4 linked regions of the Pelodiscus sinensis genome follow. The protein of the gene in region 1 interacts with the protein of each later gene in a pairwise test. Links are inferred from orthologs where the notes say so. Each region holds a gene or a part of one and is shown in the gene's direction. Other genes may lie near its edges. The genes, in order: UBQLN1, KLHL42, NME3 and AGPAT5.

Region 1 (7,203 bases):
GTTTTTCATGTGCTGCTGGCTAAAGGATGTGAGATTCACACCAATGCAATTTAATGTCTTAAAGTGTTTTATTGTCCCGAGAGAGACAAAAGTTATTGAGCTTCAAACTCTTTATCATCTGAACTGAAAGAGTAGGTACATCAAGAAATCATATTGTGATGAACTTTCCCCCGCACCTGAGTAATTCTATGACGAGGACCCACTGTAGTGCATTAGTAAGTCATTTTGCATAACTGATTGCAATACATTACTTGTTCCCATTTTATTAAATGATCTAATTGAATCAAAGAATTAATAATCTGCCTCATTCAAACTAAAAAATTATAAAAGATGTTCCAAAAAGCATGAAATTATGTAATTGATATTTGTGAGACTACATTATTTTGTGATACCCTAATTTCACAAATGTTGTAGCTGGGATTGAAACATGTAAAACCTACATGTAAAACCTATGATTTCCTTAGTTACCACTACTTGTTTCATAGAATCATAGGAGATTAGAATTGAAAAAGACATCAGGTGGTCATCTAGTCCAATCCCCTGCTCAAAGTTGGACCAAATTTAACTAACCTGTGGACTGCAAAAGAAATTCTGCCTTCCAATCTGATGTTTGATTTCTGTATAAAATGCTGTTCCAAGATAATTTCCAGTGCTCTGTGCTGCTGGAACTGTTACAGTTCAGGGCAAATACCTGTATTTCTACCCCACCCTCAGCTCCCTAGCTGTTGCTCTCAAGTGGACATTCATATCTCTTTCAGTCTGATCATTGTATTTCCAGACTGCACAGTTCACAGCCTTTTGTATGTTTCCTACCACAGTCTGCTTAAATAGAGCTGCTTGCTTTCTTTTCAGAGACTGGTAACAGAGGAAATGCTATAGGTATGTAGCACACATTTCCTCCTATACCTTAAGGCTGTGACTAGACTGGCCAGTTTTTCCGGAAAATCAGCCACTTTTCCGGAAAAACTTGCCAGCTGTCTACACTGGCCGCTTGAATGTCCGCAAAAGCACTGACGATCTCATGTAAGATTGTCAGTGTTCTTGTGGAAAGACTATGCTGCTCCTGTTTGGGCAAAAGTCCTTTTGCACAAAACTTTTGCAGCTCAGATTTGTTTTCCGCAAAAAAATCCCGATCGCGAAAATGGCGATCGGGGCTTTTTTGCGGAAAAGCGCATCTAGATTGGCACGGATGCTTTTCCGCAAAAAGTGCTTTTGCAGAAAAGCGTCCGTGCCAATCTAGACGTGCTTTTCCAAAAATGCTTTTAATGGAAAACTTTTCCATTAAAAGCATTTCCAGAAAATCATGCCAGTCCAGACATAGCCCAACAGTGGTGGTATTGCTGTGGATGCTTCCATTATAGTTCTGTAGTCCTTTTTAAATGGTGAATGTTTATAATAGGAGAGAAATCTTGAGTAAAGATTTCAGATTAGGTGTTGATTGCACAAAGTAGGTGAGCTCTGAAGCAGGCCTAGTGAGATGAAAGAATCCTCACTGCCAGCCTTAGTCTCAGCTCCCCACCCACCCTTTGCAGTAGAGCAAGACTACTGCCACTCCATACCCCACAGTGAAGAAACACCTAATTTTGCTATGACACATAGGCCTGCACCAGTTTTGCTGACAACACCACAGCAGCAATAGCGGTATGGTGACCATATTTTCTGAACCAAAATTAGGGACACATTAGCCATGCCCCTGACTTCCATTAACCATGCCCCTATGACCTGTTAGCCACGCCCCCATCACAAGAAGTCCCACCACTGAAGGTAGTACTCCTTAGGTCAAGATGGACACATGAGCATAAGTAAAGGGTGACCCTTCTAAGAACTCTTCCTACTGTCGTCCTACCAATAGGGATAGGTTTGGCCCACACAGGACACTCCCCATGAAACTATCCTGCAGTTACATTAACCCGACTTGCATTGCATTAACTTGGGGAGAGGGGCGGAGAGGCTGGGGGAAGTGTTCCCTCTAAGATTTTCCTCCCATAAGCAGAGTGAGTTTTGTCTTGTGCACCTGTATTGAGGTCATGTCTGCTTGTTGGGATGTGTGCCACTGTGGCACCCAAGTTACTAATAAACATCATAAACCTCTCCCTTTTCCCCTCTGCTGCCATTGTCTCCGTCCCTTCCCCTATCTGTTCCCCCACCCCTCACTCTCCTCTGCTGTCCTGCTCCTGCCCTTTTCACTCCCCTCAGCCCTGTGGGGACCTGCCCCCCTCTCCCCTGCCCTGCACCAGCCCTTCTCTTCCCCTTTTGCCCACTCTGATTATCTGCAGGTACCTCTCCCCATCCTTTCTCCTAACACCTCCCTCTACCCACTACCCTGCGTCTCTTCTCTGGGGCCCATCCCTCCCCTCAACATGTCTGCCCTTCTGCTTTACCCCCATAATCTCCTGGTACCTGCACCTTCCTGGTGCCTCCTCCTTCCCTCTCTGCTCACCCCCTCACCACTCTCTGCCCCAGTTCTCCTCATGCCCCCTGTGCCCTCACCTACAACTTGCTCCATCCCCTGCCTTCCTCATGTCCACCCCTCCTTTCAATGCTGCTTCTCCCAGCACCCACTTCACTCCCAACCTCTCCTCTTCCTTCCTCTTGCCTCTATATTCCCTCCCCTTTTCCACCCCCCACTGACACCTTCCCTCCCCCTCCTGCCTTTTTCCTTTGTCTCCTTTTGAGAAGAGGCAGGGGGAGAACTAAGAAGAGGGGTGAGGAGAGGGAAGGGGCTTGTGTGGAGGGGAGGGGAGGGGAGGTGGGGGGCAGCAGAAGAAGAAAGGGGGCAGGCAGCGGCAGAGTGGAGGAGAGACAATTAGTACGGGGATGTAACCAACATTACAAAGGGATTGTACTGATATTTGATTATTCTGGGCCTGGGAGCAGAGTGGAGTCTAGTGGTTATATGCAGCACAGCCAGCCATCTAACTGGGCAGGCATTCTGAAAAGCAATATGACAAAATAGATATTACAATGAGTGTGCTATCTTGATGATGTGCTCTATCCTTAGCAGCTCTGCGTGGACCTTTTGCAAGTGCTTGGTATCACTGGCCCAATAGTTTTTAACCTCGTGTGTTGTCCATGGACAGCAGTGGCCAATTGATGGTTTAATGAATCTGGGAAAGGGACAATACACTAGAACACTAGTTCTTAATTTGTGATTGCTGGGTGCTTAGGTACTCACAACCTATCTCTGAGGTTAGCCAGAGCCTCTGCCCCTCTCTTTGAAAAAAAGGGGGGGTGCACAGGGAAAAGTGGTGATCTGTGTCCTTAGAAGCTGGGAGGGAGACAAGTAATAGTTCTAGCCCCTAAACAATTAATTCCTGGCTTTCTCACAACTGCGTCGAAGTTATGGTATGTGTGAGTATCAGCTGCAATGCATGACACCATGATGAAGCAGCTCTGCACAACTGGGCCTCAGATTTCCGGGGGTGGGGTGCTAAAGCTGGCACTCAACCTATATGGCCTGGAGCGCGGCTACCCTATGGCCCCCGACTCTGCACCACGCAAGTTGCAAAGGGACACCTAGGCGCCTGGTTGCTTCAGAAACACCAGTAGTGAATTAACTGCGGCCGAGCGGCCCGCACTGCACGTGCTGCAATGGACGTGGCCTGGGGATACTTTGGACCCTCTCCACCCCCCGCCGACAGCGACGCACTAGGAGAGAGGGAGGCGGGGCATCAAGGCCTCGAGCCAAAAGCGTCAGGAACCACTGACGTCTCGCTCAGCCGCTCAAGCGCACGAGGCCGCACCTGCGCACTAGGCAAAGCGAACGCATAATTCGAGTCCCGTCAGATGACATGAGCAGGCGCGCTAGTTACACGTGAGAACCGAAAGGAGTCGCACGGCGGCTAACCATTACTCTCGCGCACTATCGGCCAATCGATATTGCGCGTGCGCGCTTGTTCAATCACCTGTTGCACATGCGCGCGAGGCTTAGCCCTGTGTCCTATGCCTGGCGAGACAACATCCCTTTCTAGTAACTTCCCTCATTCGAGACGTCATCAGTGCGCGCAGCGCCCGATCTGGGTTGTTTCCGTTTAACTCTCCGGGAGGGAGAGCGTCGCGGGTGTTTTCCGGTGTCGGCGCGCGAGGCAGCGGCGCTGAGGAGCCGGGTTTGCGCAGCGTGCCCCGCGCGGCGAGAGCGAGCGAGACCCAGAGCCAGCGGCCCCTCTCCCCCTGCCATGGCTGAGAGCGGAGAGAGCCCCCCCGGGGCCCCCAGCCCCCCGGATTCCCCCGCCCCGGGAGGAGCCGCCGACTCGGAGCCTCGAATCATCAAAGTCACCGTGAAAACCCCCAAAGAGAAGGAGGAGTTCGCGGTGTCCGAGACCAGCAACGTGCGGCAGGTGAGGGGGGCGGGCCCGGGAGGCCGCGCCGGTGGGGAAACGGGGCAGGCGCGGCCGTGGAGCTTCCTGCCCCCTACTCAGTTTCCGAGCCCCGGAGAACGGCAGCCGCGCGCTCCTGCGAGCGCGGAGGTTGGCGGCGCTGTCCCGGTGCCGAGGCCAGCCGCAGAGCGGGGCCCTCCCCGCCAAGCCAAGCCAGGGCCCTGCCGGGTGACGAAGCAGCGCCTCGCTGAGTAGCACTGCGCTGCCGCTCCTTGCCCTGGCCCTGCTTATTTCCCGCTATAGTACAGTTAGCCCCGCGACTAGCCGGCGCCGGCTCGCCCACGGGCAGCGAGTTCTCGGAGAGCAGAGAGGAGCGTCTTTACCGATCTTTGCTACTGTAAGCTGAGCCTAAGCCCAGTTAGCCGAGTGGCGCTAACTGCGGGAGACGGGGCCGCGAACTGCTAATTGAACGGGTTACCAGTCAGGCGGAGGTTGGTGATGAAAGAAGATAATAGCAGCCTTCACCTGATAGTCCTCATGGCTAAAGAAAGTGGTACAGGACGTGTTTCAGTTAGGAAGTGTGCATGTGATGCTTTTACCCTAAAAGAGTATTGCGGTTTAAATTAGATTGAAAAAAAAATCGCTAGTTAAATGTGGAAACGTGTTAGTGCTATTACACAATAGTTTCTCTGGTGTGGTGTAGTCATGAGCTGTTAGAATCTTTTTTTCTGTAAGTTTTTATGACAGCCAACTTGTTCCTTTGCAACTTGCGTTCATAGGAAAGAATGCTATCTATTGAATCAAACAATTTCCTGTGATATTCTTTTTTTGGAGGCCTTCCATCCAAATATTGACTAGGCCTGATTATACTTAAGCAAAATGCAGGACAATGGAGCACTTTAAAGACTAACAAGATGGTTTATTAGATGATGAGCTTTCGTGGGCCAGACCCACTTCCTCAGATCAAATAGTGGAAGAAAATAATCACAACCATATATACCAAAGAATACTTTGGTATATATGGTTGTGACTATTTTCTTCCACTATTTGATCTGAGGAAGTGGGTCTGGCCCACGAAAGCTCATCATCTAATAAACCATCTTGTTAGTCTTTAAAGTGCTCCATTGTCCTGCATTTTGCTTCAGCTACCCCAGACTAACACGGCTACACTTCTATGATTATACTTAAGTGATGCTTGGAGTTTTGTGGTTGCAGGCTGTAAGACATTACCAGTGAAACTGTAAAGCAACTAGCAAAATAGTTTCCTTGCTCATGAAGGAGACAAACTGCCACATTAACAGAGCTACAAAAATAAATGTTATCCATGGGAACTCATTTTATATTCCTTTTTGTGTGTGTAATTATTTAGCATCCCTAGAGATGCATTAGATGCCGTTTAAATTTAAACACCATAATGACTTCAGCCAAAGCTGCACCCTTCTTTTGTAAGGCTTTGTAAGTAGATTTTTTGGAACATGACCAGTGTGTGGAATGGTGTGGTAGCCTATTTGATAAAGGCTATAACTTCTGGGCAGATATAAAGGACAAAATAGGAGCTCCAGCAGCAAGAGCTAGGATCAACACCCTGGTTAGAAGCACAGCCCCTTGCTGCTACTAGGAAGGGGGAAGATGCTGAAATTTCTATCCTGGTATTCCTCTTTGGATCCAACTCAGAAATCTGATTTTTTTTTTTTTAATTAAGATCAATTTTTGATTGCTGGGCCAGAAGTTTCAGGAAGGCCTACCTCCTGATGGCTGAAAGGGGGCGCGCTTTGTCCATTAGGAGTGGTGTAAGCTTCCGAGTTATGAATTCTATCACTCCCCATGCAATGTAATTAAGTTGACTTAAGCCATGGTGTAGAAACTGCTAAATTGCCAGAAGAATAATTGTCAGCCTAGCTACTTCCTGTCAAAGGTGGATTTATTAGAACAATGGAAGAACACGTTCCACTGCCATACTATTTGTCTATGCTGCAGGATCATAGCTTGTAGTATTTCCAGTGAAAACATACCCTTAAGCTTTTCCAGAATCTCCTGACTGCTGCACTTGGGTAGGCTCTGTTACTCTGCCTTCAAGCTTCATTTTTGGACTTGTGCTTACCTAGGCAAAATTCCAGTGCCTCTCTGATACTTCTGGCTTGCTTTTGCAAGCAACAGCTGTGTGAAACTGACACTTTTTCCATTTCCCCATTCACCTGAGAGTTCTGAATAGCAGTAATGAAACTGATTACTTTTATTTCACTTCTTTTCTAAAATTTTGCAACTTTTGACAATCCAGCTAAGAGATGCAAAGCCTTTTCAGTCATATGGACCAGTCTTTCACTTAAATTAATAGGTAATAGGTCTCTTCTATGTGGTTTTGAGCCTGTTAACCCAGAGCTGTTTGTTGTTTAAAAATGACAACACTATAAACACTTTGCATTTAAAATTTTTTCAGAATAATTTTATTATGTATAGGAACTATTTTAGAATTGTCACTTGCCATGAAAAGCTTTCTACTTGCAGATGGGTTTTCCAAGTCCTGCTTAGGCTCTGTAGTAATTAGGGACGTAAAATCCTGTTTAATTGGTTAAATAGGTAAACATATTGTTTAACTGGTTAACTGATTAAAAAGGGAGCAAGCTGGGCAGGAGGGGGAGAGGGCACTCCTATCTGTCATGGGCAAGGATGCCCCACAGATGACTGCTCTGTTGTCCCATCCAGAGCTGCCCCTGCCTGCGGCATGTGTGGAGCTGCTCCATCCCCCACTGGTTAACATTAACATGTAAAATATTCACATCCCTTACAGTAATGAGTTCATTATAAATATTTGGGCAGACAAATGTGCTTGCATGTGACTTTTTATCATTAAACATAGTATTATTCCTTAGATCCCTGTATGAAATAC
Region 2 (8,097 bases), on another chromosome or scaffold:
TAGCCAAAGAGGCTGTGAGTGTGGTACAGCCCCCAAATCTTACACTTCCCACTCTGGAGAGACTTAGTTCAGTTCCAGCTATTAGCCCAAATGATAGCTGACCTGGAATTGAGTGAGGACTTGTCTGGGATTCAAACCAGCATAAGCCTAAGATACTTGGGACAAACTTCCTTTGTTTGTTCTCTTTGGGCTCCCAGAGAAAGGATGTGACCCACTCATCACAGTGTATATTACATGTCCACCCCTATACCCAATCTACAGAGGATGTCAATATGTTACAATTCTCAGCTATATAGCCTGCCTCTTTAGCTTAAGCTGTAGAGACTGAGGCTTTTAGCTCTGGAAGTCCCTGATTCAGGCTTCACTACAACGATCTATCAGAAAAAGGTATACAAATTGCAGATATTCTGCAGATAACCTGAAAATGCTTAAATGCTACTGATGGGGAGGAAAAATAAGGGCATGCCTTTACTTCTATTACAATACCATGGTCTAGTAAAGTTCTTGGAAGGTGCAAAGTGGAAAAATAGTAAATATGTAGCTAATAAATGGCTATCCATTCTTAATACAGCTATGCCTCCAGCATGTCAAGAAGGGTTGCTACTAGGGATGTAAGTGACTGGTCGACTACCCAATAAGATGCTTATCAGGTAGTTAAGTAGTGACTTGACTAGTCACTCCACCCCACCTTGCTGCCTCTATCAAAGAGAGGCAGCAAGGGGGGAGCAGGAGCCTGTGCTGGGGTGTGTGTGTGTGTGTGTGTGTGTGTGTGGCTTAAATGCCGATTTCCCCAGCACCATCTGGGGAGGCAGAGGCATAGCTGGGATCGGGTGCAAGCTTGGAATCAGCTGACTCCCAGCTTGTGCCCAGTCCCAGATGCTGTGCATCTCCTTTTTAAATGTATTAAGAAACACCAGGCTTTTAATGCATTTAAAAAGCAGAGGTGCAGTGGTGGGACAGTTGATTCCCAGCTTGCACCTGGTCCCCTGCTGCAGTGCTGCAGTTTCTCCCCTTATCAATTAATTGAGTAGTTGATGGAAATTCCATTGACTACTCAATTAGCTAATTACACTTAATTTAACATCCCTAGTTACTACCTCTACATATTTCTGTGAACATCCCAAATCTCATGGTGCAATCCAGCACCCTGCAATCCAGCCTTGGGTAATGCCAAAATACCCCAAGGTATCTTTTGTAGCCTGGGAGATTGTGACATACACAGGGCATAATTTACACTACCGAGTATCTGTGTCACTCCTGCTTTCTAACTTGGGATGCAATTTACACTGCTTTACTGCTCCAGCCTCCAGTCATGGCATGCCTGCAGTCTCCAGCATGTAATTCACTCCCGTCTGTGTAGGCAACCTGCACCTATTTTGTTACCCCAAATAGAGTTTCCCAGATTCTTCAAACACACTCGATGAGCTAAAACAATAAAACAAGTTTATGAATTACTTGCACTCAAACTGTCTGTAATGAGACATGAAAGTCAAAAATGGTTACTAGAAAAAGATAAAAGGCAAGTAAAGAAAGCTAAATTCCAAGTTAAGTTTTTCGAACAAGATGTTCTGAGCAGTCAAACTGTTTAGGCCAGGACCCTTTCTCTAGGTCCATGGTTGCATCATTTGTTCTTTCTGGTGCAGTATTCAACAAAGGGAGAGGGAGAGACAGGAGAAGGAGTTGTTTCCCCTTCCTTTTTATAGTCCTCTTACCTACCTTTGAGATGCATTTCCAGGTGGAAGCATTGTGACTGGCAGTCTGTGCAGAGAGCATATAATATCCATTGGCCTTGTTTATACCTGGCTGAGGTGTCAACTTACCCTTTATCTCTGAGGCATTTGTTTGACCATTCCTTAGACCTGGAACATTGTTAGTAACAACGTACTCTTGAATAAAACAACTTTACATACAATGTTCCCACATGCATTTTACCATGACAACAATGACCGGCAAATTGTTAGTTTACATCACACAGATTGTTACCAAGGTGTGCAAGGTATGAACATGGGGGTACAATCTGTCATAGAGCTATCACACTTTGATGAGATATTTGTATGCTGTGCTATGCTGATTCCCATTCCCCACCTTCTGGGTACAGGACAAACTACACAAGCTGATAGGTCTTTTTCATTTTCAATGTATGTCACTCCATACTCCTCACATGTGATTGTATTTGCATTAATATATATATGGAGATATACCATCTCATAGAACTGGAAGGGACCTTGAGAGGTCATCGAGTCCACTCACTTGCCCTTACAGCAGGACCAAGTACCATCCCTTAAACTCACTGTCTACTTTGCAAATACACCGTGTTGCATGCTTGTGACTAATCACATTAAAATAAATTAAATGTATTTCCATGCAAGAGGCTAAGCATGTGCTTAAGTGTTTACAGGATCTGGGTCTAAATTGTAAACTCCTTTTGCTTCTTGGCTTAGTTTTTCAATACTTTTTATTTTCTATCACAAGGAGTACAACCACCACGGAAACAACAAAAGAAATAATCAGACTACTCCTAACTGGACAACAATATGCTAGCCACTCCCAGGTGTGTTATTGTAACTGCAGTCTGCCAGTCCTACCGTGGCTGTCCCCAGCCTTGATTATAGTGTACAGAGTCTCCACACACTCAGTGCCAGACCATCCCTGGATATGTCTGTCCTGCTCTGTCTAGCCCTTCTCCAGACAGACCAGTTATATTACGTTTGTTATTCCTTTAAGACAGGGGTGGGCAATAATTTTTGGCTGGGGTGGGGCCTATAACAGAAAGGGTGGGGCCAGGATGCTTCCGGGCTTCCCCACCCACAGATCATGATTGGTCGGGGGTGGGGGAGCCTCTTTGCCCCCCCCTTCCCACTAAGCACCCATGCCCCTGGCAGGACAGGAAGAGGCTTTGCACACTCCCCACCTCCAGGCCAATTAGAGCCTGGGGGCAGGGGAAGTGCATGAAGTTTCCTCCCCTATGCCAGGAGCATATAGCACTTTGAAGTGCCCTGTGCTCCTGGCAGGGTGGGAGGAGACTTCACGCATTCCCCTGCCCCCAAACCCTGATTGGTTGGGGGGCAGGAGAAGTGCACAAAGTTTCCTTCGGCCTACCCACGCCATGCGAGGAGCAGGAAGCACTTGAAAGTGCTGTGTGCTCCTCGCAGGGTGGGGATAGAGCGGAAGAATCTTCATGTTCTCCCCCGCCCCCAAGCAAGGCACTTCAAAGTGCTACATACTCCTGGCAGGACAGAGGAAACTTGGTGCGCTTCCCCTGCCCCCAGGCCCTAATTGCTACAGCTTGGTGGGCCGGATCTGGCCTACGGAGGCCCTTTTGCCCACCCCTGAGCTAGAGAGAGAAACTGTGGAACTGGTCTTCATATGCAAAGCTGACACCTTCACACAAGGACAGAACAAAGATATTAGCTAGATGGGCTGTTATATTCAACACCCAAATGACATCAAAAGCTAAGGATCAGACACAGCCCACTCTATTAGACACATTTAGCATGGACACTATAGTTGACAGGGTTTCTGCCTACCCCCACCTCCCTCCTTTTTATCCCTCTGTCCTCTCTTTTTCAGCTTAAAATTTTGGATTTCTGTACTTCTCTGTGGCTCTTGCTCTGCTCATCTGAAGAAGTGGGTTGTGCCTACAAAAGCTCATGACACTGTATAACAGCGTTTCCTAAACTGTGGTCCACGGCCCAGTACTGGTCCTTAGGAAAAAAATACCAGGCCTCAGAAAAATGTTTGCGAGAGCCCGCCTCACGGCCTGCAATCCACAAGATGAACTCTGCACTGAACTCCCAGTGTCAATGGAGGTAGCACAGGCTTCCTGCGGGATAGGGCGGCAGTTCTGCAGCTGCGTACCAGGTTCCGGAAGCGTGTGGGCTGCTCTCCCCCTGCCCCAACAGCCGGTACAGTACCTAAAATGCCGGTCCAGCGCATGGTGGGGACTTTGTTCCCCTGCTGCCTTCCCGTGCGCAGGGGAGTGGGTGGAGATCCGGGACTATGCTGGCTCCAGCTGCTCGGGCGGCGCATGCTGCCATGGAGAGCAGAGGAGCTAGGTGTGCACTGCCCAAGCGGTTGGGGCTGGCACGGTCCAGGACCCCGCTGTGCAGGAAGGCATCAGGCATGCAACAGACCAGCGTGTCAGGTACCGTGCCACCGTTTGGAGGACGGGGGAGCAGCCCGCGCACTTCCTAGGCCTTGGCAGCTATAAGATCGCCAGGTATCGGTCCTGGTCCTGTCCCCTCCCCCCCCACCCGGACCCATACAATACCCTGCCCCAGTACCCACAAGTGCTCTGTCCCTTGCCCCAGCACCCGCAAGCATCCTCTCCCCTGGCCCAGCACTCATTGGCACCCTTCCCCAGAGCTCTGTCCTAGCACCCACAAACACAGTTGGGATCACATTAGTGAGGTTTGAGGGGTTATGTTTTTGTATCTCACTTGTGTGGCCTGGACTGACTTTCTGTGGGCTAAAGTTGGCAATGGGGTCTTTGGGAGGACCAGAAACAATTTATTTGCATATTCATCATCTGCTTAATGAATATGCAAATAAACATTACTGGTCCTCCAAAAGCTTGTGAATGGATTTACTGGTCCCCAGTCTGAAAAAGTTTGGGAACCTCTGCTATATAATGTTTTTGTAAGTCTCTAAGCTTATACAGGGCCACTCGTTTTTTATTTATTTTTAAAGGAAGCATGTACATTTTCATTTTCTTTTGATGAATGAGTTAAGGACCCATCCAATGCTGGGTAAATCTGCTAGTGAGGTATAAGAGACAGAAAAATAAAGCCGAAATTCTTTCCCCATTGTCAGAAGGTCTAAAGGTCTCTGGGCTCTGCGCGGTGCTGCTGAGCGACTCCCACCCGGGAGGGACCTGTCGCGGGACCGCCAGGGAAGGCAGCTCGGGGCTGAGCTCGGCCCCCGGTGCTCGCTAGGACGAGGGGGGCGGTGCTCCCGCCAGGCGCACGGAGCAGAGAGCGACGTTTCCAGGCCCTCCCCGGGCTCCTCCCCGGCCGGGAGCTGGGGCCTGGAGACGCTGGGGCCCCGGCCTGCTGCAGCGCCCCGGCTCCAGCATTGCCTTTTTAGGCCTGCGCGCCGCCGCGGGACGCAGCCGGGAGAGGGGCTGAGCCCGCCGCCACGGGAGCCACCCCCCGCCCCGCTCCTCCCGCCAGCCGGCGGGGCAGGCAGGAGCCCGGGGCCATGTCCCAGGCGGAGGCGGGGGAGGCAGCGGCTGGCGCGGAGGAGGAGGAGGTGGTGAGGATCCGGCTGGGGGACAGGTGCTACCCGGTGAGCAAGAGGAAGCTGATCGAGCAGAGCGACTATTTCCGCGCCCTGTTCCGCTCGGGCATGCGGGAGGCGGGGCAGGGGCAGGAGGAGCAGCAGCTGCGCGGGGGGCTCAGCGCCCAGGGGCTGGAGCTGGTGCTGGACTTCATCAACACCTCCTGCCTGGCCCGGCTGGAGCAGGAGGAGGGCGGGGAGCAGGAGCCCCCTCTGCTGGAAGAGCTGGTCGAGGCCGCCTCCTACCTGCAGGTCACCCCCCTGCTGCGCCTGCTCCTCTCCCAGGTGAGGCTGGGCAACTGCCTGGAGCTGCACCGCCTGGCCCAGGTCTATGGCCTTCAGGACCTGCAGGATGCCTGCCTGGGCTTCATGGCTGCCCATTATCATGAGGTTCTGCGGCGGCCGGAGGCCCGTCCCCACCTCCTCCTGCCCAGTGCCCTCAGGCAGCAGCTGAGGGAGAGGCGAATGAAGGGCACTGCCACCCTCCTGGCTATTGGAGACTTCATGGGTGCCTCCTCCCTGGGCCTGGCCCCATGCCGCCACCTGCAGGAGGAAACCCCTTGCTCCATGCTGAGGTATGATGAGGTGGCTCAGAGGTGGCTGCCCCTGGCCAGCAACATGCCCCTGGATCTAGTGAATGTCCGAGGCTATGGGTCGGCAATGATGGACAACTACCTGTTTGTCGTCGGGGGCTACAGGATCACCAGCCAAGAGATATCGGCTGCCCACTGTTATAACCCCTGTATAAATGAATGGTGTCAGATGGCTTCAATGAACCAAAAGAGGTAAACCCCCACATGGTGCATTACCAAGATATAGCATTTTGAGTTGGGTAGGTATAGACTAGACCCAGAAGTGCAGGGCCTGATTCACCACCTACCTGCATTTTGTGAAGTCAACACTATCAGTGTAAGCAGCATTTGACTGTCCCTTTTTCTCCCGGTTTGCTGATGTTAATGACAGTACTCGAAGAGATGATTAATAGGAATGTAAAATCCTGTTTAATTAACCGGTTAAACATTAAGTTTAATCACTTAACTGATTAAATTAAAGTAGGGTGGGGACTCTCTGCCCTGTGGGCAGGGGCTGCTTCAACCCATCTGTTTCCGGCCCCACGCTTGCTCAGGGATGGAAGTGGGGAAGGAGGAGGGGAGAGAGAGAGAGGGAAAAAAGAATGCATGTATGTATGTCTAGGGGGGGATGCTTACCAGGTAACCCATTTAGATCATTAGTGATCAATCGGGCCTTTAGGGTCTAGTTTTCTCTGTAGTCTCCAAATATCTGTCTTTATTTAAAAAAGAATTTCATGGTAAAATAATGAAGGTAAAATTCTCTTCCTAGTCAGTGCATGGGGTCTTTTGGCTCAATAATCTGGTCTTCCACATATAGGAGTCCTGTTGGCATCAATGGATCCATGCATGTAAGGAGTACAGAACATCAGAGTCAAGATTGACCAAACAGGTTCTTATTTGTATTGTGGCATTTAAACTTTGTGGTAGGCTCTGCACACACCTGCTATAAAACCACAGTTCCTGCTAGGGATGTTACATTTAGATTAATTAATTAATTAATTAATCATATAGTCAATGGGATTTCCATCCACTATTCGATTTTAGTCTATAAGGGCACTTCCGCCTTTGAACTGTAGCAAGAGCTCTGCCAGGTATTTGCTACAGTTCAAAAGCAGAAGCCCCGTAGGGAGCGTGAGGCCAGTGGGGGACTGGCCCTGTGCTCCCTGCGGCGCCTGAGTCTTTGAAATATGCACGACCACATGGAGCTCTTGTACATTTTAAAAGCAGAATCACAGCAGAACTGGTACGAGTGGAGACTGCTTCAGACCCTGCTCACACTGTTTCCTCTGTGTCTGTACCTTCTCTGCCCCCTCAGAGATGGTGCTGGGGGAAACCAGCTTTTAAGCCAATTCCCCTCAGTCTTGGCTCCTGCTCCTCCCCTGGGGGAGAGGAAGGGGGAGTAATTAGTCACATCCCTAGTCCCTGCCCAAGAGAATTTACCATCGAGTATACCCAACAAAAATGTTTGCCTTGAAACTGGTGCCTTCCTTTCTTTTTGCTTCTTATATTGTTTTAAAAGCTGATGAAGTTGATCATAACTGTATTATAATTGTCAGTGGAAGTGGCCCATACAACTCTGTATTTTTGCAATTAGTGTTTATTGATTTTTTCATAAAGAAAAAGATAATGAAGATCAGAAAAAAGGCAAACATCTTAGTTTGTACATGTTTCTAGATGATGCATGCTCCATAGGATCATTGATAGAAGTACAGGCAGTCCCCGGGTTACGTACAAGATAGGGACTGTAGGTTTGTTCTTAAGTTGAATCTGTATGTAAGTCGGAACTGGCATCAGCCACTGCTGAAACTGATCAGTTTCAACAGCCGCTGAATCTGGACACCAGTTCCACTTACATACAGATTCAAGGTAAGAACCCCAGGCGTCCGCAAGTCAGCTGCTGCTGAAACTGATCAGCAGCTGATTCCAGGAAGCCGAGGGCAGAGCAACTCTGCCTCGGGCTTCCTGTAGTCAGCCGCTGGTCAGTTTCAGCAGCGGCTGACTTTGGGACGCCTGGGGCAGAGCAGCTCGGGTGCTGCTGGCTTGGTCCAGTAGCACGGCCGCTCCTCGGAGCTACTGGACCAACCCAGCAGCACCCCAGCTGCTCTGCCCCAGGCATCCTGATTCAGCCACTGCTGAAACTGATCAGCAGCTGAATCAGGACGCCTGGGGCAGAGCAGCTGGGGTGCTGCCTGGTTGGTCCAGTAGCGCCAAGGAGCGGTGCTGCGGGACCAACCAGCAGTGCCCCACC
Region 3 (7,475 bases), on another chromosome or scaffold:
CCTCTGCACCAGTTGACTGTTCTCCTTCCCTGAGCCTTTCAACCTCCTTAACAGCACAGGGGCTGTCTGACTAGAGATGGAAAGCCTCATCTGCGTACCTCTGTGCCTTCCTTAGCTCCTCCAATTCATCCACCCTGGCCTCCAAAGCACGTGGTCTTTGAGGGCCAGGAGCTCCTTTCACCGAATGCACACATGCCCCACCCGTCCATAGGGCAGGTAATGATAATTACACTGGGTGCAATAAACAGGATTGCCCCACTCTGCTGCTGGGCTTCTTCCTGCATTCTCTCCTACAGATAATTGGATTATTCAGGAGGAAAAAGTTGGCTTTCTTGTCACTCGGCAATCCGCCTCCACTGGTAGCTCCCCTTTTTCACTCACCCAACCTAATAAAATGAAAGCAAGAAAAGAAAACTTCCTAACAGTTTGATTTAGTCCACTGTAGAATTATTTCACAAGGAAAATAGTAAAAGTCCAATTCGTTTTAAATTACAAAAGTAACTTGAAGGAATCCCTAGAGACTCTGTCATAGTGGACAATCTGTGTTGGCAAGGAAATGGAGTCCGACAAATCGGTTCTCTTCCATCTGAAGTGTTTTATAAATATTAATGAATTAAACTCCCCAACATCCCTGTAAAGTATAGAGTTGTGGAAACTGAATAAGAGAGGCGAAATGACTTGGTCAAGCTAACAAGTGATCAAGAGCAGTGTCAGGACTATAATCCAGATGTTCTGTCAGTTGCCTGTGTTATCTGCTATACAACTTGTAGTGGGAGTGCGTACTGTAGTACAGGGGTCCCCAATGTGGTGCCCACTGGGGCATTTATGTGTGCCTGCCTAGCGCCACCCCCAGGTGCCCGGCGCATGCACGGCCCCACACCGGGCGCCTGCTTCACGCGCGGCACCCACCACCCAAAAAGGTTGGGGACCACTGCTGTAGTAGATACAACTCCCATAAAATATCCAGTACTATGCCGAGCTGAGGCATTGGAGATAATGCAGTGGCATAGTCCTCATTATGGAGTTTGTTCATAGTATTGTTTACTTGTTCATCATCTTTCCTTAGGCAAGACATATAATGAAGTGAAAGAGATTGACAAGGTGATGTATCATGACTGGCGGATGGTGCCCAAACATGAAGAGGAGTGCTTCAAGAAATTTACTCCAGTGTCAGTGGAAATCATTCAGTATGTGCCATATCCCCCCCTTCTCCGTGCCATGATCCTTGCACAAAGGCAGAAGGAAGGAAAACTTGACACACAGGAACCACTGATTGATCTGGAGAAAATCATCATCTTCACAAACGACTACTTTAAAAATCAGAAAAAAGCTAAGGGGACACCAGTATGAAGGTCTAGAGCTGTACATGTTGGAGCATCTGAAAGGCTTTTTAATATTCTGTGTTGATTGCGCATACAATTCTCCTTAATGAAGAATAGGACCATAAGCCACATGCCCACTTCTGGTTCAATGTATTAAAGTATAATATGTTGATGTCTCAATACGTTTCACATCCAAATGTGCAACTTTCTTGTATATATTCAGAAGATGTAGTGATACTCAAGATTTTTGTGGTCTTTCATTCGCAGAGGGCCCTCCCTTTTTTGTTCCTTGCCTTTTCTGGTGCGGCGTATGTGTCCAGGTGTGCAGGCAGACCGCAAATGAGACTCTTTTGAGAGGATGCTCTCAAAGTTTGGGCCTACAATAATAGAATGACGACTCTAAAAATGGCACCTTCAAGCTTCTCTTATCCTGCTACTACAGTTCCAAAGACATGAGTTGGATTCTAGTCTGTTTTGTGAACCATTAGCAGACATATTAATTAAATTTCAATTTTAGAACCCTTTGCCTTGATACATCCCTAACCACTATGTGACTATCCAATAAACACATGCTTATCTGATAGTTGGCTAGTGACTCAACTGGTCACTCCCTTCTCTTCTTCCCCCCCACCTCTCTTTCAGAGAGAGGCACCAAGGGGGTGGAATAGGAGCCGATGCTGGGCAAACTGGCTTAAAAGCTGGTTCCCCAGCATCATCTCCATCCCCCCTGCTGAACTTGTGCTTTTTAAATGTATTAAGAGCTAGATGGCTCTTAATACATTTAAAAGGCAGAACCACAGCAGGGTTAGCTCCCGGGGTTGCGAACTAACCCCACTGTAGCTCTACCCCTCCCCCCCATCAACTAATTGACTAGTTGATGAAAATTCTATTGATTAGCTGATTAAATGCCATTTAACATCCCTAATAGAGGCATCTCCTCAACTATAGCCCTAACTAAACCCATAAATACCACTCAAATGAACTAGGATTGTGAAGGTCATGAGCAAGATAGAAGGAATCCATCTTGACTTTCAAATTCCACATTGTATGCCAAATTGACAGTGGGGAAGAAGAACCCATCTTTTTTCTTATAAACAGTAAAAGGTCGGACTCCCTTTTGCAGTCAGTGTCAAGCTGCCATTTGCTTCAATGCCCCTGTGCTATTTTAGGATTAGTTGATGCAAACAAACCTGTTATTAGAACCTGTAATGTTTGAGCATGCTAGGTCATCAGACCTCAGCCACAAAACTTACCAGAAGTAAATCAAGAAAAGAAAAAAAAAGTGGACCTGTTTAAACAATAAATACATTAATTTTTTACAAGTGATCTTATTTGGTATTTTTTCTGTGATCTTATTTGGTATTGGTAATACAATAAAGAAATATCAAAAATATTTTTCATTGCAAAAAGGCGTAGTTGTATTTTGAGATTTATTTACCCCTTTGCAGCCTTATAATGAACTATACTGTCCTGGCCAGGCACCCATTCCAGCAGAGCACATTGGCTGCTTCTAGACTGGCAAGTTTTTCCACAAAAGCAACTGCCTTTGCGAAAAAACTTATCAACTGTCTACACTGGCCCCTTGAATTTCTGCAAGAACACTGACGATCTCATATAAGATTGTCAGTGTTCTTGCGGAAATGCTATGCTGCTCCCGTTTGGGCAAAAGCCCTCTTGCGCAAATGCTCCACTCCTGGAAACTCTTGGCGGCGGTGCGGGGCTTCCCCTGCCTTCCTGCAAAATGGCGGAGCGTTCGCCCCTCGCTGTGCCATTCCCTGCCCACCCCCTGGACGCACTGCGGGTCCTGGCAGACCCATCACAGCCCCCCGCTGGAGTACCTCCCAATACTCCAGCATATCCGATAATACGGCACCACCTAGGTCCCAAAGGTGCCAGATTATCAGAAGTCTACTGTAGTTCTCTGAAAACATCCACTCAGGGTGCAGCGGCAGTCAGAAAAGCACATAGATTGTTAGGAATCATTAAAAAAGGGATAGAGAATATCTTATTGCCTCTCTATAAAACCGTGGTACACTTACATCTTGAATACTGCATACAGATGTGATTGCCTCATCTCTAAAAAGATCTATTGGCATTGGAAAAGGTTCCGAAATGAGCAACAAAAACTATTAGGGATTTGGAATGGGTCCCATATAAAGAGAGATTAAAAAGACTTGAATTTTTCATCTAAAAAAGAGGAGACTAAGGGAGGATATGCTAGAGGTCTATAAAAGTCATGATGGGTACAGAAAAAGTGAGTAACAAAGTTATTTACTGGTACTTGTTTCCATAATATAAGAATTGGGGGTCACCAAATTAATAGGTAGCAGGTTTAAGACAAACAAAATGAAGGGTTTTTTTCACACAGCGCACAGTCAACCTGTGGAACTCCTTGTCAGAGGATGTTGTGAAGACTAGGACTTCAACATGGTTCAAAAAAGAGCGAGATAGATTCATGGAGGTCAGGTCCATCAATGGCCATTAGCTAGGATGGGTAGGAATGGTGTCCCCAGCCTCTGTTTGTCTGGAGATGGGTGAAGGGGAGGGATCACATGATGATTCCCTGTTCTGTTGGGAGACAGGCGCTGGGTGGATGGACCTTTGCTCTGACCCAGTGTAGCTGTTCTTAAGGATCCCAAGCAGCGCCTGTGCGGCGGCCTAGCGCATGCACCAGCCTGGCCCTTAGGCTGCCAGTGGGGTAAGGACACTGCGGCGGGGTCGCAGGTTTAGCTGCCCCTAGTCTGGCAGCCCGAGCGCCTCAGCGCGAAGCAGGCAGCTGGGCTCCGGGCTGCACGGCGTGTGGGGCGCTAGGCGCTGCAAGCCTGCTAGGCGCGTACCCGACAGGGCCTGGGGGGCTCGTAACACACCCGCATTCCCCCCCCCTCAGCCCGGGGCTTTCTGGCAGGGCCCTGTGGCTCGGGCTGAGGGGCGAGACGGGCACGTCCTCCCCGCCCCCTAGCGGCGTGTGCGTGTGCCGTGACCAGGCAGCTAGCGGCGCATGCGCGTGCGTTGCCCAGGCCGTAGCAGCGGCGTCCGGCTCCACGCGCGCGCCCCGTCACGGTCTCCCGCCATGATCTGCCTGGTGCTCACCCTGCTCGCCAGCCTCTTCCAGAGCGGTGAGCGCCGGCCGGGCGGGACCAGGCCGCGGGGGGGCGCGGCCGTTTGGGGGCAGGAGTCGCCCGCGGAGGGGCTGCGTGGGGCCCGGGCCCTGCTCGGCCGAGGCGCGCGGCCGACGCCCCGCTGGTTCGCAGCGCGTGTGCTCGGCGGCGGGGCGGGGCGGGGCGGTCGCGCGCAGGGCGGGAAACGCCTCAGGAGCGCGGCAGAGCAGGCGCTGCCCCTTGGCGCGTCCTTGAGCCGCGCACGGCTCCGCGCCCAGCCACAGCCGGCCTGCGCCCCGTGGCTCCTACCCCAGGGTCTGTCCCGCTCGCGCAGGCTGCGGCTACGTGGGCAAGATCTTGCACAAATGCTTTGAACGCAAGAGTATTTGCGCGGGAGGGTCTGCACTGCCAGGTGCCTTTGCGCCGGAGCACCGTGCCAGTGTGGACGCTCTTGGGCAAGAAGCTCCAGGGGCCCTTTTAGCCGTTGGGCTTTCTTGCAAGAAAGTCCTGTTGCCTGTCTACACTGGCCTCTTGCGCAAGAACAGTTGTGCAAAAGGGCTTATCCTGAGCGGGAGTGTCAGTGCATGTGCAAGAGGCACCGATTTCTCGCATTAGAACGTCAGTGTTCTTGTGCAAGAACTTCCCTCCAGTGTAGACAGGCAGCAAGTTTTTGCGCAAAAGTAGCTGCTTTTGCGCAAAATCTTGCCAATGTAGATACAGCCACTGTGTCTCTCTAGCCCGCATCCACATCCCTCCTGCACAAGGCTCTTTTGGGGTCCCAGAGCTAGCCTGGGACCAAAATTCATGAAGTGGGTTCCCCTGTGAAATTATTGCCCACCCCTGCACTACTGAGAGCAGAGTGGTACCCAACCCTTCTCCATGGCAGTAAATTATCACTGCATTTGGGTCATTCTGACTAAGGCATGTAATTGGGCTTGGGGAGGGAACAAAAAGGCTGCATAAGGTGTTTATTTTACAGGTGGGAAAATTGAGGTACAGAGAATTCTCCCAAGGTCCCACAGCCATCCACTAGAAGGCTAGAAATGAAATCTGGCCTTCTTGACTCTTAGCTCCAACTTTTTACACATACCACCTCTATGATCTATGCTAGGATGGCCAAACTTAATGATCTTCTTAGCCGCTCAAAGCTTCAGCCCTCCTTTTGCGGAAGTCTCAAAGCCTAGCCAGTGTATTCTATGGTCCTGCTTTGAGCAGGGCGTTGGACTAGATGACCACCTTGAGGTCTCTTCCACCCCTAATCTTCTGTGATTCTATAACTTCCCTCCCTACTGGGCAGACCCTATACCACTATCCTGCTGAAAGACAGAGGTCTCTAGCTCCCCCCCCCCCCATCTAGTACAGAGGTGGGCAAAAGCGCCTCCAAGGGCTGGATCCAGCCCACCAAGTGAGTTGATTTGGCCTGCGCAGGCCCTTCCGCTCCCCTGCCCCCAGGCCAATTAGTTCCTGGGGGCAGGGGAGCACACAAAACTTTCTCCTGCCCTGGGAGGAGCATGCGGCACTTCAAAGTGCTATGTGCTCCTCCAAGGGCTGGAGAAGACATCACGCACTCCCCCGCCCCCAAGCCCTGATTAACCTGGAGGCGGGAGAGCTGCGGGAAGTTTCCTCTGCCCTACGAGGAGGTCACACGGGGCGGGGGCAGGGCGAAGGAAGCTTCACGCAGCTCCCCAGGCCCTGATTTTATTTTTTAGTTCCTTGATCCTGGTTGTAGTGACCCTTCTGATCTTGAATGCATGCTGAGATTGTCTCTAGACCTAAGTGTTCTTCCTTTTCTTCATCTGCTTTCAGCTTACACAGGAGTAAATGAGCTCACCTTCCTAGCCATCAAGCCAGATGGGGTACAGCGGCATCTCATAGGGGAGATCATCAGGCGCTTTGAAAAGAAGGGCTTCAAACTGGTGGGGATGAAGCTTATGCAGGTGAGAGGAGCTGGCAGATCAAGGATTGTCCTGGCACTCTTGTCTCTAAAAGTCCAGTCCAGGCCGCATTGTGTATGCTCTGTCTTGTGGCTTTAAACCTTTGGAACAAGGACCTGTTTGCACCCTGCTTGCTAATGGTGCTTTGTAAGTAATGCATAGCTTTTATGTAGTACTTTTTATCAATAAATCTGAAAGCACTTTACACAGGTCACTTTCATGATCCCCATTTTACATATGAGAAAACTGAAGTATAGAGCGGGGACATTGCTTGCCTAAAGTCACCCAGTCAGGGGCGATGTTGGCAATAGAATCCATAGAAGCATAGAAATTTGGGTCTGGAAGAGACATCAAGGGGTCATCTAGTTTAGCCCCCTGCTCTGAAGTAGGATTAAGTATTCCTGCCTCACAAGTTCCCAGTCCAGTGCTCTGTCCACTAAGTATCGATTAACTGACTAATCGAATAGTCAGCGCATTTTGCATCGACCATAGGGTTGTTGCCACACGTTAAAGGCAAAAGTGCTGCATGGAGCCCAGTTTCTTCTGGGGACTTCATGTGGCGCAGCGTCTTTGAAACACCGCAAGGAGCCTGATGCCAGGTTCCGTGCAGCATTTCAAAGTGGCAGTGCCGCTGGGAGTCTGGGGAACGTGGATCCTGGGCTCCACGTTCAGTCTGGGGCCACCTCAGCTAGCCCCAGGCTGCACGCGGCATTTCAAAGTGGCAGTGCCGCATGGAGCCTGGGGTCTGGCCCCAGGCTTCAAGTGGTGCTGCCACCTTGAAATACCTCCTCTCTCCCCCGCTGCCTCTTCCTGAAAGAGGCAGCAAGGCAGAGGAAGCGACAAGTTGACTATCCTGTCAACTATCCGATTAGCCTTTTCTTATTGGATAGTCAACTAATGCTTCACATCCCTGCTATCCACTTGGCCATGATTAACAAAGCTCAGAAACACCTGGTATCAGAGCTGCTGTATAGTCTGGCTGAGACCATTTCTCCAGCATCCCTCCTATGGCAGCTCCAAATAGTGTTAAATCCTACTATTACTAGATGGAGACAGGAAACAAAAGGAAAGTTCCCATGTTTTGTCTCCATGCAGGTAGGCAGCACAGCTGGAGAGGGATT
Region 4 (8,287 bases), on another chromosome or scaffold:
AGGCACTGATTGGCCTCAGCTTACTTCTAGCCTATGTAAGTGCTGAAAAGCCAGCTTTTGCAGGTTCTCCCTGCAGTTCATCATCAGAGGACTCTCTAGGCAACCCCTGTAGATCTAAACTTGCTTCTCTTCCCTACCAGCAGGGCATCATCTTAGTGCAGAGAGTGTCGAGGTGGTGGGGCTTCCGACCAGGTGCAGCAAATGCCTGATACCTCCTACCAGTGTTCAATTTAAAGACTAACGAGATGGTTTAAAGTGCTACGTAGTTTTTCCTTTTGTTTTAGCAAGATCAGACTAACACGGCTACCTCTCTATTACAGTAAACTTCTGATAATCCGGCACCTTTAGGACCCAGGGGGTGCCGGATTATCAGATATGCCGGACTATCAGAAGGGGGGGCTATGAGGGGTCTGGAGTGGGGTGGGAGCGGATGCCACCCCAGACCCTTCATAGCCCCCTCTTACGACAGTCTGGCTCTGCCCCAGGCGTCCCTGATTCAGCCGCTGCTGGTCAGTTTCAGCAGCAGCTGAATCGGGGATGCCTGCAATAGAGCAGCTGGGGTGCTGCCGGGTTGGTCCCGCAGCGCCAAGGGGCGGCGCTACGGCACCAACCCAGCAGCACCCCAGCTGCTCTTGGGGACGCCTGGGGCAGAGCAGCTGGGGTGCTGCGGGGTTGGTCCCGCAGCGCCGAGGGGCGGCGCTACGGGACCAACCCCGCAGCACCCCAGCTGCTTTGCCCCAGGCATTGGGATTCAGCCTGCTGGTGAAACTGACGCTGCTGGTCAGTTTCAGCAGCGGCTGAATCCCGACGCCTGGGGCAAAGCAGCTGGGGTGCTGCCGGGTTGGTCCCGTAGCTCTGCCCCGGGCTTCCTGGAATCAGCCGCTGATCTGTTTCAGCAGCGGCTGAATCGGGGACCCCTGGGGCAGAGCAGCTGGAGTGCTGCCGCATTGGTCCCGCAGCGCCAAAGGACGGCACTGCGGGACCAACGCGGCAGCACTCCAGCTGCTCTGCCCCAGGCGTCCCCAAGAGCAGCTGGGGTGCTGCCGGGTTGGTCCCGCAGCCCCGAGGGTCAGTGCTACGGGACCAACCCGGCAGCACCCCAGCTGCTCTGCTCCCGGCTTCCCCGATTCAGCTGCTGGTCAGTTTCAGCTGCAGCTGAATGGGGGAAGCCTGTCCGGCTGCCCCAGCACTTCCGGGTTCCTGATGGTGCTGGACCATCAGGAGTCCCGGAGCATTGGATGCCGGACTAATGGAGTTTTACTGTACTATTCAATGTTCAATTTGATATCTTTGGGTCTGTGGGGAAGTGCTGAGCTTTGGAAGGTGGTGTGCATACAACGTAAAATGTGCTGTATAATGCTAAATATTCCGAAAAATCAAGTCCTAATCATTCTAATGAGACATCCAAAAATTACTGAATACTTTTGAGTTTGTTCTCCCTGTATTAAAAATCCTTAGGTGCAATGCCACAATACACTTATCTTCTCCAGTGTATATCACTTTACTACTCTCTTGTGAAGTGCCCTGAGAAAAATTATAATTCTTTTTTCAGAACAGGGTTCAAATATTGTACAATAAAAAAGGTCTGGAAGGACATACTGAGGAGAAAACACAATATTTAACAACAGCCAGGTAGAAGTTCTGTAAAATAGTATGGGTATGTCTACACTACTCTCCTAGTTCGAACTAGGAGGGTAATGTATGCATACCGCACTTGCTAATGAAGCCCGGGATTTGAATTTCCCGGGCTTCATTAGCATAAGCGGGGAGCCGCCATTTTTAAATCCCCGCTGCTTCGAACCCCGTGTAGCGCGGCTACACGGGGCTCGAACTAGGTAGTTCGGACTAGGGTCCTATTCCGAACTACCGTTACTCCTCGTTTCACGTGAAACGAGGAGTAACGGTAGTTCGGAATAGGACCCTAGTCCGAACTACCTAGTTCGAGCCCCGTGTAGCCGCGCTACACGGGGTTCGAAGCAGCGGGGATTTAAAAATGGCGGCTCCCCGCTTATGCTAATGAAGCCCGGGAAATTCAAATCCCGGGCTTCATTAGCAAGTGCGGTATGCATACATTACCCCGCTAGTTCGAACTAGCGGGGTAGTGTAGACATACCCTTAGTGATCTTGTAACTGGAGACTTTATCATGATGCATATACACAACGGGGCCAAATTTAAGTTGCAAAGTTGTGTTTGCTTCAGAATTTCATCTTTCCAGGTGCAAAAATAATTTCTAGTCCTAGCAGAACAAGATATCAGACTATAAATCATACTGTTCCAATTACCACTTTGGTTGCCTCCTCCATTTGAGTTCTGACATGATCTTATTGGCTTCTATCTCAAACTTATTTCTGAACATGAATTGAAATGGAAGTTTTGAAATGGTATAAACTGTATTAATTTTCACTGCTAGCAATCCAGAAAATGTTAGTGGCAAAAAATCACATCAAAACTGAAGTGGAGAAATAAGATGCTAATCAGAATAATGTGATTTCATGAACTGTTGTGTGATTTGTAGGGGCCTCTTGGCAGGGCAGAGCAGAGCAAATTATTTCCAAACACTATTTTTTCCCAAATACTGGTTCTAGATAAGTGAACAGAAACAAAATATTGTGATCTCAGTAGTAGTAACTTGAAATGCTATGACATCTGTGCAATATGATCGTGTTAATATTGCTATGAGAACTTTGACTTTCCAAATTTGGGAGTTTAAATGTTCATACTTCAGGTGGTATTTACATAGTGTTTCATTTTTATGCATTTGATTTTGATGTGACATTATCTGGCTTCATCCAGTCTAATTAATATTTTCTAGTGTATAGGTTCTTAAATTTGCCAACACCATCATGTAATTAATCCAACAAGGAAGAGTTTAAATATTTTAAGCTGTTGCATTTAATGCTTTACATTTCAGGGTTTTTTCTGAAGGAAAAATGTGGGGGCTAAGCAAAATGCCATTGAGGTATGAACAGTTATGTGGAATTTATATGTGGAAGCCATAAATAGATCAATCAATATGCACACATCTGTGAGTCAAACAAACCTCATTTGCAAGGGCTAACCCAAGTTCCTCTCACCGTCAACCAAAGCACAGGAATTTTAGACACGTCAGCTTGCCATCTCACCTTAAAACTAAACAAAAATACAATTTGTCAAAAGTGCTGTTTCATCTAAGCTGAAATACGTTAGTTTCTACAAAATTTTCAGCATGAAGGGGGAAAGAGTGAGGGAGTGTATACTTCCTGAACTAAAAACTCAATCAAAAATAAATTTTGACACAATTTTATTTTCACAAAAGTGTTCAAAAGGCTTGGATTTCATTCCAGATTTCAAAAGCTGTCATGAAATACAACTGTCGTCTGGTCAGCTCTAACATACAGCATCTGAGGGCTTGTCCGCATGTGGAAATTTACCCACATAATTATACGGTTATATAATTATACTGATGTAAATTCCCACATAAGAAGTGCTGTCACAAGTAGCATTATACCAGTATAACTGCTATGGTATAATTATATTGGTAAATTTTCCCTAAACATCAGTAAGTAAAGAGTTGTATCCTTTACATGATCCTGAAGACTACATGGAAAAAGCTAAATCATTTTAGCTAAAATTAAACAAAACAAAAATAACCCAAAACAACCAATTTGAGGCAGACCCTCAGGATGTAAATTTCAGGCTGAAGTTATGCTATGATAAAACTATAAACAACTGAAAACAAACTTTGAATGGGACATCTCAGGCACCTTAATAACAAGTGGCACTAAGTAGATCTGTCCACAAAAACAAGCAGCCCAATTCCAGAAAAAAACCTTTTTTGCTAGGTAGAAACAATCCACTAGCAAGACTCAGTTTGCCAGTTACTGTATGGCTACGTCTAGACTACATCCCTTTTTCGAAAAAGGGATGTAAATTAGACGTATCACAATGGCTAATGAAGCGGGGATTTAAATCTCCCCCACTTCATTAGTATAAAAATGGCTGCCACTTTTTTTCGGCACGGAGATTTGCCGGAGAAAAGCGCCAGTCTAGACGCTGATCTTGCAGAAAATAAAGCCTTTTCCGAAAGATCTCTTATCCCTCTTGAAATATGTATTTATTATTTATGTCTGTAGCAGTAATATTTTGGACCTCATGGTTCCAGACACTGTACAAATGTGTGTCAGACAGATGGTTCCTGTGCCAAGGAGCTTGTAATCTACCATCCAGCATGGCATTTTCAACTTCAGCATAGCAACACCTATAGGGTGCGTCTAGACTGGCAAGATTTTGTGCAAAAGCAAGCGCTTTTGTGCAAAACTTGCCAGCTGTCTACACTGGCTGCTTGAATTTGCGCAAGAGCACTGACATTCTAATGTAAGAATTCAGTGCTTCTTGCGCAAATACTTTGACGCTCCCGCTCAGGGATAAGCCCTCTTGCGTAAGAGGGCCAGTGTAGACAGGCACCTTAATTTTTTGCGCAAGAAAGCCCGATGGCTAAAATGGCCATCGGGGCTTTCTTGCGCAAAAGTGTGTCTATACTGGGCACGGGTGCTTTTGCGCAAAAGCACCCGTGCCAATCTAGACGCTCTGTTGCGGAAATACTTTTAACGGAAAAACTTTTCCGTTAAAAGTATTTCCACAAAATCATGCCAGTCTAGACTCAGCCATAGAGAAAGATCAGCAGCATACACCAACATCTTGGTATACTGGCATCCCAGCTGAGGGAACCCTCACCAAGCCCTGTGAGCTGAAAAGTGACACCATTGCTATGGCACTGATTGGCTTAAAGGCGCTCTAAGGTGGATGCCCAGAACAGGGGATTGTGAGATGTGTGACAGAAAAGGCAGGATGGGCACTTGGCCTGGCGTGCCGAGACACACTGGATGGTGGTGGATGGGGGCAGTGAACAAGGGCCAACATCCAGGTAGGGCAGGAGGAGCTAGGTGCCCATAAGCCAAACTGTACAACAGGAAGTAAGTGCCTGAGGAAGGGCTGTAGGGAGGGGCGAGCGGCGAAACTGGAACTGCAGGGGTGGGTGCTTGGAATGGGTCTGTGAGACACAGAGTGGATGTGTGTGTGGAAGGGAGGCGGCGGGGGAATGGCAGATGCCCACCAGGGAGGTGGTGCTGGGCGAGGGCAGGAGTCCAGAGTCGGGGCTGAGAGTGGCAGGTGACAGGACGGGGCTGTGGGGGTAGGCGGCAGCGGCTGACGAGGACACGGCTGCGGTGGGGGCGGGCCAGCAGGGCGCTAACACGGAGGTTAGGATTGGCGGGCACTAGCGGCGGGGCGGGAGAGAGGGTGCCCAAGACGCCGTGGTGACTGACGTCCAGACTGGGGCGGGGAGACTGAGTATCCGGGACGGGATCTATGTGGGGGGCCGAAGACCCAGGGCTCTGGCGGGGCGGCGGGAACAGCCTGGCCCCTGCCAGCCGGCGCTGCCCAGCCCCGTCCCGGGGAGACACCTCAGGCCGCAGCCCCACCTACACCCTCTGCTGAACGGGGCGGGGCGGCGGCCTCCGGTCCTTGCCCGCCCCCGGAAGTCTCCCCGCAGCCACTGAGGAGCCACCTTGTTGCGGCCCGCGCCGCTGCTGCCGCCGGGCAATCTGGTGGAGGAGGCGGCCAAGGGGAGACGGAACCCGGCCCATCCCCCAGCTCCCGCCGCCGCCACGCTTGCTCCAGCCCGGGCGCCGCCCCTGCCCGCCCCCGCTGCGCTGGCTATGCGGCCGGGCGCCGGAGGCGGCTGGAGACAGACCGGACGCGGCGCACGTGGGTGCTGAGGGGCGGCGAGGCCGGGCCGGGAAGATGCTGTTGTCCCTGGTGCTGCACACCTACTCCATGCGCTATGTCCTGCCCGCCGCCGTAATGCTGGGCACCGCGCCCACCTACGTGCTGGCCTGGGGCGCCTGGCGCTTGCTCTCCGCCCTGCTGCCCGCCCGCTTCTACTGGGAGCTGGATGACCGGTTCTACAGCATCTACCAGAGCATGGTGCTCTTCTTCTTCGAGCGCTACACCGGCGTGCAGGTGAACCCCCGCGCCTGGCACCGGGAGTGGGCAGCGAGCAGAGCGGGGGGCCGAGTGGGCACCAAGGGGTCTGCACTTGGGGCCACTGCCAGCCAGCTGCTACGTGGAGGGCACAGGATCTGTGCTGGGGCTCGTGAATGCACCCGTCGCCGCCGTGTTGCTTGGGTGCCGAGCTGTGCCACTACATGAACTGCTCAGACTGAGCCAGGTCATCCCGTGTCAAGCGTTTGTTGTACCTAAATAGACATACATTAGGCAGAGTAGTCTCAGTGAGATCAGAGTACCACGAAGGCAAAGAAAATATACTTAGGCCACTGGCTATCCACAGACCTAGCCCTCTGTTTGCACAACCTCTCAATTCAAATCTTCTTGTCACTCCCTTCCTGTGTTCTTGTCTGGGTTTTACAGCTAAGCAAGCTGCCTTTAATTGCAGCCACTTGACCTTGAAACCCGTGAGCTGCAGCCTTGGAAATCGGTGATAAAACTCCTACAGACTTCTCATTTCTGTAGGCTCTGGCTTTTCTTTTGTAAGCTGGGGTAGAGGTCTGACCCTCTTATTTTGCAAAGAATCATCACAATAAGTTTATCTGGCACTTTTCATTCACAGCTGTAAAAGTGCTTTAAAAGGAAGACCAATATTATTATGTTCATTTTACAGATATGGAAACTGAGGCAAAGAGACATCTGCATAATAACATTGTGGAATCCAGACGCGCTCTCCCCTTTTAGTGTTTTTAACAACAGAACCATGCTGTCTCTTTTGCACAATCACCATACTAGGTAATAAAATAATAGACAGGAGTAAGGCAAACAGGATTAATGAAACTACTAGAAATGACTGTTGCTACCCAAAGAAAAACCTGTGACCTTCCTTGAGTTCTTTGCAAATAGTGGCTTCAAACATATTTGTAGTATTGAATGATCACTATGAATATATCTTGGGTTATATAAAGTTGTTCGTGTCTGACTTGTGTTTCAAGTTAGACTTTTTCTATTATCACTTGGTTCATAGTAGAAGGAGTGTTAAAGGGGTACCTTTGAGTTAAAATAAAATGTAAAAATTAATATATTGTTAATAATAATAACTTCAATTATTACAACCAATGAAAGTAAGCATAACTTCCCAATATTCATACTGCTCATTTTCCTAAGTTCACTGAAGTTAATTGGAGCAGTGATTTCTAGTAGCTCTGAATTCAGGTTCAAGATCTCAAGGTAGAAACCCAGAATTGGAGGCCTCTCTTGCAAGTTTCAGCCTGCTCTTTCACCTATCAATATCTGTATGTGTGCACATAACTATACAGGCAGTCCCCGAGTTACGCGAATCCGACTTATGTCGGATCCGCAGATACGAACGGGGATTTTCTCGCCCCAGAGGACTGGAGTGGCGGGACACCTGGTCCCGCCGCCCGCCTCCTTCGGGGCGAGAAAAGCTGCTCCCCGTCTCCCTGGTCTGCTGCGGGAGCCAGCAGACCAGGGAGACGGGGAGCAAAGCGGCGCAGGACCCGCGGCTGCTTCCAGATCAGCTGGAAGCGCCGCGGGTCCGGCCCTGGGTCCTGCGCGGCTTTGCTCAGCATCTCCCTGGTCTGCATCTCCCTGATCTGGCCCGGGTCCTGCGCCGCTTTGCTCAGCGTCTCTCTGGTCTGCAGACCAGGGAGACGCTGAGCAAAGCCGCGCAGGACCCAGCTGGACCTGTGGCGCTTCCAGCTGATCTGGAAGCGGCCGCGGGTCCGGCCCCAGGGTCCTGCGCCGCTTTGCTCAGCGTCTCCCTGGTCTGCAGACCAGGGAGACGCTGAGCAAAGCGGCGCAGGACCCGGGCCGGACTGTGGCGCTTCCAGCTGATCTGGAAGCGCCGCGGGTCCAGCCCGGGTCCTCCGCCGCTTTGCTCCGCGTCTCTCTGGTCTGCTGGGGGGGACGCAGCTAGTGCCCCCCTCAGCAGACCAGGGAGATGTGGAGCAAAGCCCGGGGCCTGTGGTAGAGCAGGTGGGGTGCTGCCGGTTGGTCCCGCAGCACCGCTCCTTGGCGCTACTGGACCAACCCGGCAGCACCCCAGCTACTCTGCCCCAGGAGTCCTGATTCAGCCGCTGCTGATCAGTTTCAGCAGTGGCTGAATCAGGACGCCTGGGGCAGAGCAGCTGGGGTGCTGCTGGGTTGGTCCAGTAGCGCCGAGGAGCGGCTGCGCTACTGGACCAACCCAGCAGCACCCGAGCTGCTCTGCCCCAGGCGTCCCCAAGTTAGCCGCTGCTGAAACTGACCAGCGGCTGACTACAGGAAGCCCGAGGCAGA

What was found.
Region 2: the proteins of UBQLN1 (region 1) and KLHL42 interact in binary tests that used the Homo sapiens proteins (3 or more experiments, as listed by UniProt). The two-hybrid records come from large-scale screens. The link is inferred for Pelodiscus sinensis from reciprocal best matches to the Homo sapiens genes UBQLN1 and KLHL42.
Region 3: the proteins of UBQLN1 (region 1) and NME3 interact in binary tests that used the Homo sapiens proteins (3 or more experiments, as listed by UniProt). The two-hybrid records come from large-scale screens. The link is inferred for Pelodiscus sinensis from reciprocal best matches to the Homo sapiens genes UBQLN1 and NME3.
Region 4: the proteins of UBQLN1 (region 1) and AGPAT5 interact in binary tests that used the Homo sapiens proteins (3 or more experiments, as listed by UniProt). The two-hybrid records come from large-scale screens. The link is inferred for Pelodiscus sinensis from reciprocal best matches to the Homo sapiens genes UBQLN1 and AGPAT5.

What each region holds. Positions count from the first base shown.
Region 1 is NC_134716.1:40,477,504-40,484,706, reverse strand, and holds the start of UBQLN1 (ubiquilin-1), read left to right. Parts: upstream 1-3,907; 5' UTR 3,908-4,175; coding exon 4,176-4,337; intron 4,338-7,203. UniProt on the Homo sapiens protein: Plays an important role in the regulation of different protein degradation mechanisms and pathways including ubiquitin-proteasome system (UPS), autophagy and endoplasmic reticulum-associated protein degradation (ERAD) pathway.
Region 2 is NC_134711.1:129,725,525-129,733,621, forward strand, and holds the start of KLHL42 (kelch-like protein 42), read left to right. Parts: upstream 1-5,056; 5' UTR 5,057-5,199; coding exon 5,200-6,062; intron 6,063-8,097. UniProt on the Homo sapiens protein: Substrate-specific adapter of a BCR (BTB-CUL3-RBX1) E3 ubiquitin-protein ligase complex required for mitotic progression and cytokinesis. The BCR(KLHL42) E3 ubiquitin ligase complex mediates the ubiquitination and subsequent degradation of KATNA1.
Region 3 is NC_134726.1:469,935-477,409, forward strand, and holds the start of NME3 (nucleoside diphosphate kinase 3), read left to right. Parts: upstream 1-4,307; 5' UTR 4,308-4,320; coding exon 4,321-4,438; intron 4,439-6,226; coding exon 6,227-6,357; intron 6,358-7,475. Other genes in the region: MRPS34 (small ribosomal subunit protein mS34), read left to right, coding at 1,067-1,350. UniProt on the Homo sapiens protein: Catalyzes the phosphorylation of ribonucleosides and deoxyribonucleoside diphosphates, other than ATP, into the corresponding triphosphates with ATP as the major phosphate donor.
Region 4 is NC_134713.1:41,456,914-41,465,200, forward strand, and holds the start of AGPAT5 (1-acyl-sn-glycerol-3-phosphate acyltransferase epsilon), read left to right. Parts: upstream 1-5,239; 5' UTR 5,240-5,782; coding exon 5,783-6,001; intron 6,002-8,287. UniProt on the Homo sapiens protein: Converts 1-acyl-sn-glycerol-3-phosphate (lysophosphatidic acid or LPA) into 1,2-diacyl-sn-glycerol-3-phosphate (phosphatidic acid or PA) by incorporating an acyl moiety at the sn-2 position of the glycerol backbone.